Schizosaccharomyces pombe: one gene and its partner. Changing the gene in region 2 together with the main gene of any one other region gives a genetic interaction. Each region holds a gene or a part of one and is shown on either strand. Other genes may lie near its edges. The genes, in order: pof10 and coa5.

The links.
Region 1: mutations in coa5 (region 2) and pof10 together harm fitness more than expected from each alone (negative genetic interaction), as found in Schizosaccharomyces pombe (one large-scale study listed by BioGRID).

What each region holds. Positions count from the first base shown.
Region 1 is NC_003423.3:2,923,656-2,928,386, reverse strand, and holds pof10 (F-box/WD repeat protein Pof10), read right to left. Parts: upstream 2,874-4,731; 5' UTR 2,825-2,873; coding exon 2,767-2,824; exon of another isoform or gene 2,713-2,766; coding exon 833-2,712; 3' UTR 597-832; downstream 1-596. Other genes in the region: acl1 (ATP citrate synthase subunit 1), read right to left, coding at 93-166, 214-373; rio2 (RIO family protein kinase), read right to left, coding at 3,186-4,154, 4,309-4,374. UniProt on the Schizosaccharomyces pombe protein: Probably recognizes and binds to some phosphorylated proteins and promotes their ubiquitination and degradation.
Region 2 is NC_003423.3:4,266,468-4,270,266, forward strand, and holds coa5 (cytochrome c oxidase assembly protein Coa5), read right to left. Parts: upstream 1,704-3,799; 5' UTR 1,624-1,703; coding exon 1,453-1,623; exon of another isoform or gene 1,404-1,452; coding exon 1,317-1,403; 3' UTR 892-1,316; downstream 1-891. Other genes in the region: SPOM_SPBC16A3.17C (transporter), read left to right, coding at 1-891; nda2 (tubulin alpha 1), read left to right, coding at 2,524-2,578, 2,669-3,799.

The DNA of each region.
Region 1 (4,731 bases), 1.3 Mb from region 2:
AATCACTGATGTAATATCGAAAATCAGCATGAACATCTTTTGCTAAAACGCTTATTTGCAAACTAATAAGCATATTTATGCGGACAACTTACTTCTTCAATTGTACGATAAACAGGCAACAGAATTTCTTTAGTACCCCAATAAAGCTTGCTGATACTTTGACTTCCTAAGCACGCGTTAGTATTCAAATTTTTATATCAACGAAGCACATACCGAACGTATATATGATAGCAGCTACAGATGGAACAGTTCTACCACACATATAATCAAAGTCAAGCATTCCTTGAACAGCCTTTGTCTGCATGCCATACACAAAGGCTCTGGTGTCCTTGGAAAAAAGCTCATAAGAAGGTTTATCCACTGATCCCGCCATTGTTGTTCTTGTCACTGTGTTGGAGGAGGTAAGGAACGTTCGCTCATTGTTTTGCTGAACACTTTTTTACATTTAACGAGATGTTTGCGATAATTGAAATTTTGAAAATCAGATAACGCAATCAAGCGATACTTTTTATACATTCACTGATCAACGGTGCGTATGCCTTAAGAATATTTTTTTATGCTTTTATTAAGCAATAATATTATCCTTAAATAAGCATAGTAGGATATAAGAAAATACGTATTCCTAAAAGATTTTATTAACAAAATTAAAGTAACCTCTATTTTGAATTATAAAAATTCCCACCAAAATCCCTTGAATCCTCCTCCTTTTTTTACTTCGGAAGATTGATGAAGCATGTAATAAATAGATGAAGGACATGACTATATGCAGATGCAAAAATTTAACTAACGTATATTTTTCTACTTTTTCCCTCTTAGTAAACTACTAGGTGTATCACATTTCCATGAGTGATAATCGCATGGCTAGTTCAATCTGCTCTTGTTCGTTCAGTTCAGCAACATTCGCTTGTTCTTGCGGTGGCTCATGATTTGAACTTAAAGCATTTAATGACGATGTAGCTTGTTCATCGTTTTCTTTAAAATCTTCTTCTATTTTATCAACATCCATGGAGAGCTGAACCATTCTCTTAGCTTCCTCTTCTTGTGAAAGCATGGTAACATATGCTATGATTTCTTCTTCACTTAAACCAACCAAGCCCTCACCAAAATGCTGTTCAAATTTTTGCCGGGCTTCCATTTTTTCTCGTCTTTCCTGAGCAATTTGGTCCAAACCTAACATGATTTCTCTTTCGACTTCATTTTTTGAGTAGTCAGACGACTTCGACAGATTATCGTGTGTCACCGAAGGTCTCAAGGGTAAAACCTTGGACCTTTTATTAACAAAAGGTTTGGGAATTGTATAAGACCAAGATTTGACATGCTTGCTCATGGTGATCACACCTTTCAAACTTAACGGATTTGAGTCAAGCAGTATGCAATTAATTGGTTCTCTTCTAGCAGCATTCCTGGCACTCGCTATTTTTTTCAAAAAATTCCCAGTAACGGTATCGTATACTCCGCAATAGCCGCTAGCCGACCCTACTACCATTGCAACTTCATTCAAGTAAATATCGGTAATAGGAAAATTTGAGTATGCAGTAATAGTTCTAAGAATGGCCTTGTTAGGATCTTCAGTGCGAGTGTTTACAACATAAACCAAACCATTTTCATCACCAACAGCGAGCAGTCTTGCTCCTCTACCAGGAGTTGATTTTGACAACACACGATCGTTCGTATCTAAGGAGATTGAGGTTGGTTTTCCGTTGAGAGGAATTGAAGATGTTTGAACGCCGACATTATCGTTTTTCTCCAAAAATTCTTTAAATGAAACTCGACAAATACAATTTTTCGGTGCGCCCCTGGACAAGAAGGCAACACCGGCACAGCAATCTGCCGTCATCAGACAAGGAGGTTCCTCTTCATCAGTTAACACACATTTTCTGGACGATAAAAGTATAGGCTGCTCATTCTTTCGGGAGCGAGCATAGCCCGGTATTAAGTATAATTGATATGAGTTAAGTTCATAATTAAAAGTGTCAACGAGTAGCATTTTGTATTTCGGCCTGAAACACAAAGAAAGGATTTGTGAAGAACGGAATTGAAATGATTGAAGACTAACACCTGTTTTAACATCCCAGCAATGCACGGATCCATCATCTGATCCAGTAACCATACCGATTTCCCCAGTGGGGGGCAAATCACCGGTTAATGCATCAATGCATGTAACTGAATCAGCATGGGAATCCAGACAATAACGAAATTTTCGAGGAGTCTCGGCTTGACGTGACATCAAAATAACTCCAACGCGACCATCCATAAAACCAAAGCCAAAAATTTGTTTCCCCAATGTCATTGTAGATAATCCATGCGTAAAGCTGCCATCAGTACTAGCATGTAATAAAGACCTCTCAACCTTTCCAGTGGTAGGGTCGGAAACGGAGATTGTTCCAGTAAGCCAATTTCCTGAATAAAGCCTTCCTGAAGAAAAGTCGTAATAAAGGTTGGTCAATTGTCCAACGCGACAATCATACTGAACTGTTTGCCCTTTCCCTTTTTCATAAGCTCTAGTAATGGTAGAACGTAAAAGATATTCTTGCCGCCATGTTCCATTACCTAGTGGACTAAATATTTGCGACTGATCACCCGCAAAGTGATGAAAAAAAGCAGTACGCCAACTTAAATCATCGGATAATAACTTTTTCCAATATTTGCAAGTGCATTGAGCAGAAAGTAAAGAGCGAGGATCAAGAAACGAAAATATAATGATCAAAATTTCTAGAAAAAGTTAACAAAATCTCGAAAACTAAAATTGAATGTGTGAGAATTTACCTTTTGGCAGGTTTAAAACTGTTCTATTCGTATTATTTGAAGAATGATCCCGATTCATTCTCCTTAGGTTTGAGGATGTAAAATCCAAAGATGTTGGTTCCGATTTCATTGGTCTTGGCGTTTTGCCTTAGTATATAAAGTGGAACTTACTACGTGTACCAACGTATCGCTCAGAAAACGTCCTGTAATCATTAATTAACGAGCATTTTATATTCGAAAATTAATGTTTGCTTGTATCTTTTGATAGATTAATTAAAATGCTTTTATCTACATCCAAATTGAAATGAAAATTTAAAACAGTAACCAAAAAAGCTGAATATATTAACCCTATGCTAGTCCCTAACACCAGAAATACCTAATAAAATGAATAAATGATTTTACTGAACATGCAATTGTGCAATATGGTTTCATTAAAACCATCATTCCTTCTCTTCTTCTTCTTCTTCATAGTTATCAGATAAATCATCACCATTTTCTTTTCTTTTTTCTTCTTCTTGTCTATATTTTTCTAGTTCTTTAGATTGTTTCTTATTAAATCCTGAAGCCTCAATCATGATATCCAAATTATTTTCCTTTTCCATTTTCGATATGTCTTCGAAATTAGGAACATCACCTTTGTATTGATAGTTTTTTTCAAAATATTGCACAATGCACTGTACGTCTCTATCAAAATAAAATTGCGCATCAGGATGACTAGTAGATACCATTTGCGGAAAATCAATTACAACAGCTGTTCCATCTTCACGAACAATGATGTTAAATTCGTTGAAATCACCATGTATTAACCCATTCCTTGCAAATCGAACGATAATATCCATTAATGTCTGATATAGAGCAGGTGGATCACGAATGTCAGTAACAGCACGAAGAGGAAACGCATCAATCATTTCCATGATAATACAATGCCTGGAATGATCAATTGGAGCAGGTACAGGGAAACCATGCTCATGCAAGATCTTCATAAAAGCAAATTCTTTTGTGGCAGCTAATCGAGACAGATACTGCCATGATCCAGTTTTACGATTTCTCAAATAATCTCTATTGTTTTTTACACTCCGGAAAGATATACGCCCAAGCCTGTGGATTTTTAAGATATATTGCTTTCCTTTTTGGTCTCCTACGACGTAGACATCAGATTCTTTACCGACGCCTATTTGATTACCGACAGAGTAAACGGATGCTCTCTTTGACAAGGCCTTCAATGCCAAGTAATCATATCCCGCATATGTTAGTCGATAGCCCTCATAGCTGATATGCGGCACCTTTGCAATTAATTTATGCATAAACAAAACGGACAATGATTTCGTACAAGAGCCACCGCGTATTTTAGCAATTTGATTAATCATATTCGTTGGAACAACTTCATGATTACGGCTTCCCATTTCTACCTATAACTTGTTAGTTCGAATACTTATTGAAATCAAAATATAATTAATTGAATGCATCATATCGTATGTGTCAATAAGTAAGAAAATACAAAACATTGTACGATCAAAACGATTTAAGCTATATGACTGCCCAAAGATAAAATAAAGTGCTTACAGCTGTCAGAGTGCGAAAATCCTCGGCAGAAAGATATCTCATTGCTTTTATATTCAAATTTACCATCTTGACGAGCTTAACTTTTTTTCTTGCTAAAAATAAAAAAATAAGTAAGAATGCTAATCAAAGTTCAATTCCGACAATCACTAAATTGTGGTTCTCGTCAAAATGGTTGGTGTTTTGGCTAAGTGTGCTTAAAGTATTACTTGCCATCTGAGAAACATTTTTTACTTCACGCTTTAAAATTATGTAACCACAAAAATGAATACCAACTTTTTTAAAATATGAGAGCTATACACAATTTTGTCTTTAAATATCTTATTTAAGCATTTCTCAATAATTTATTAATTAGGATTACTTAAAATATACATTAAACCTTCCCTTTGATATAAATAACATAAAATTAAAATACTGACAGTAACG
Region 2 (3,799 bases):
CTTTTGGGAATTTCTTTAGGTGCATCATCGGGGAAATGGCGCCGTGCTAATATCCTATGTTATCTTATTATTGGCGGTTGTTTATTTGTATTTGCTTTTATATATGATACTTTTACGAAAAGAAATGCTGTTTTACCACCTCCATTCTTTAAAAATCGTTCTAGTGCAGCTTTGCTGGCTTGTTCATCTTTTTTCTATTTAAATTACATGCTTTTTGCATATTACGTTCCTCAATACTTTCAACGGATTCGCGGTGACAATCCCATTATGTCTGGTGTACATACTATCCCTTGTGCAGCTGTGCTGTGCTTTTTTTGTACGACAGTTGGCATGGTTCTTCGGAAGCTAGGACGTTACTTGCCGTTGATATATGTTGGATATATCAGCTGTGTTGCCGGTATGGGTGCAATGATATGTGTAAATGCTACGACCTCTATGAGCAAAGTCATGGGGTTAACTACCATATTTATGTTCGGATCTGGTTTTCTTTTTCTGCCTCCGCTCATTGCAATGCAGGCAACTTTTCCACCTGCAATGACTTCCATGGCTACTGCTACACTTATGTTTATACGTACCATGGGTGGTTCTATTGGTATTACAGTTGGTGAAGTAATATTTAATGAACGGGTTACTCAATCCTTTGACGGGAATACAACTTATGCTCAGTTATCTTATAAACAGGTTGAACGGTTACCCCAGGAATTACAGATTCGTGTAAAGAATACCTATGCGTCTGCCTTCAGGGTTATTTGGATATTTTGTACTGTTGTGATGGCAATTGGTTTTGCTTCTATATTTTTCATTAAAAGCCGTCCCTTGATAAGTAATGCTCAATCTGTGCCAGCAAAAAAGAAAGGTGATAGCGATGAAAAGCCAGCCGAAAAGGTGTAAATTATTTTATTTTGTTTTATTTATTATTTAGAAATTTATTGCTTTAACGTCTTTCTCACTGTTCGAATGTGCCTTTGAGTTAACTTGAGAAACAGGATTTTTAAGGAAAGTTTGTGTAGTTATATCTCAATTTTTTTTTTAGAAACCGATAGCTAGAGATAATCCTAGAGGGTGAATTATACTGTATATCTTTGATTATACCTAGTAGAAAACACTTTTAATTTGTTTGCAGGGAATTCGGAAATTAAAACTTCATCTTTAAAATCGAAACCTTGAATGCATTTAATTAAGTAGATAGTCGAAATAATATCGCTAGAATTTAACACACTACGACCTCTGATGGTTCATAGAATAGGTAGCTTTTCTTAATGGCATAATTTAGTAATATCTGTTTGTATGATTTAATTGTCTATGAAACCATAGATTTATTGTTCGTCAACATTTGATGGCTTCTCAGTATCTTGGTCGGTGTTTTTTTCTGGCGCAATTCGATATCGTTTAGTCATATCCAGCTGAATTATAACCATTTAGTAAAATAATAAGAGCCAAGCATTAACGTACCATTTGACGTTTGCATTCGCCATACGCCTCTATCAGATTTTTGCATTCTTCTGGAAGTTCGTCCTTGTTTTTGAGACATTCTCGTGCACTTTTTTTTTTAACAAACATACAATCAGAATGTAACAAACAATTTGCTAAATCTTCACGAATAACTTTACACGATCGGCCCATTTTTTACTGTAATTTTAAAACAAGGCTAAAAGTACATTGAATTCGTTCTTGTCAGTAGAAAATAGGATTTGGCGTAAGGTAAGGTGAACCTCTACAATTTGTTAATCCCTTAAAAGAACCATATGATCAAATGTTCTATACTAGATTCACCATACGTAAAATACATACTATTAAGAAAATAATTAAGCAAGCTGCTTTTAATTAGGTTTCATAAAACTGGGAATCCAAAATCTTTTGTCGGGCTAAACGCATAGTAATTTGACAGTGATTACAAACCCACAAAGCTTTGCTTTCAAACCTACTTTCTGAGGTTTCTAACCTTTAAGTATACGCTTAATGCATTTATTGCAAATCACTCAAGTATAAAACATCATTATATAGAAAACAGTAAAACGCAATGCAATGATTATAACCTTTCTTATCAAAAACCGTAAAGTGTTGCTAGTATGTTTTTATAAACAATTGTTACATATTTGAAACAAATTCTCGTATTCTTTGGCAAAGGAGCATAATTCTCATTATTTATGCTTAAATACTAATAATTATGTTCATTTGCTTCGTGAAAAAATGTCTTTCAAATCATAGTTCTTTGTTTACATTTATCGTCACTTCAATCCGTACAGTACAGAAAAATTCGAAAATTGATCATTGCAAGAATATTAATGAATACTACTTATATTACTTCTTTATAAAACATTATGTTATTTGCATGGTATGAGTTTTGGAACCTCATTGCATAAACTTCCCTCCTTAGTGCTTTACGAGTTCATTCGTTTTTCGTTATTTCCTACTCATGACTTGGAGTACCTACGCTCTCCCTTGACAAACAACCTAAGTTTGCAACCAAAACGTCTTGTGTAGCGCGTTTAGTTGCATTTACATTCGTTATTATCACAAATTATGAGAGAAGTAATTTCTGTTCATGTTGGACAAGCAGGTGTTCAAATCGGTAACGGTATGTTCAATATCCATCTTTTTGTATTGCTGTATACTCTAAATAGTTGGCAATCGATTTTTTCATAAAAAATTTAGCTAACATTTCTAGCATGCTGGGAGTTGTACTGTTTGGAGCATGGCATAGGACCCGACGGTTTTCCTACAGAAAACTCCGAAGTTCACAAAAACAATAGCTATTTAAATGATGGATTCGGTACATTTTTTTCTGAAACCGGGCAAGGAAAATTCGTACCTAGAAGTATCTATGTTGATCTTGAGCCTAACGTTATTGATCAAGTTCGTACTGGACCGTATAAAGATCTGTTTCATCCTGAACAGATGGTAACTGGTAAGGAAGATGCTTCTAACAATTACGCCCGTGGACATTATACTGTAGGAAAGGAAATGATTGATAGTGTATTAGAAAGGATACGTCGTATGGCTGACAATTGTTCTGGTCTCCAAGGTTTCCTTGTATTTCATTCTTTTGGTGGTGGTACCGGCTCGGGTTTGGGTGCTTTACTTCTGGAGCGCTTGAACATGGAATACGGAAAGAAATCTAACCTCCAATTTTCTGTTTATCCCGCCCCTCAAGTGAGCACATCCGTTGTTGAACCTTACAACTCTGTGCTCACTACCCATGCTACTCTCGATAACTCTGACTGTACCTTTATGGTTGATAATGAGGCTTGTTACGATATCTGTCGCCGAAATCTTGACATTGAGCGTCCAACCTATGAAAACCTCAACCGCCTTATTGCTCAAGTTGTCTCTTCTATCACCGCTTCTCTTCGATTTGCTGGTAGCTTAAATGTTGACTTAAATGAGTTTCAAACTAATCTTGTGCCATACCCTCGTATTCACTTTCCTTTAGTCACTTATTCTCCTATTGTCAGTGCAGCTAAAGCATTCCATGAATCCAACAGCGTACAAGAGATTACGAATCAGTGCTTTGAGCCTTATAATCAAATGGTAAAATGTGATCCACGAACTGGCCGCTATATGGCTACTTGTCTTTTGTATCGTGGTGATGTTATCCCACGTGATGTCCAGGCTGCCGTTACTAGCATTAAATCTCGTCGCACCATCCAATTTGTTGATTGGTGCCCTACTGGTTTCAAAATCGGTATTTGCTATGAGCCACCCCAACACGTTCCTGGTAGTGGAATCGCTAAGGTAAATCGTGCTGTTTGTATGCTTTCAAATACCACCTCGATTGCTGAAGCTTGGTCTCGTCTGG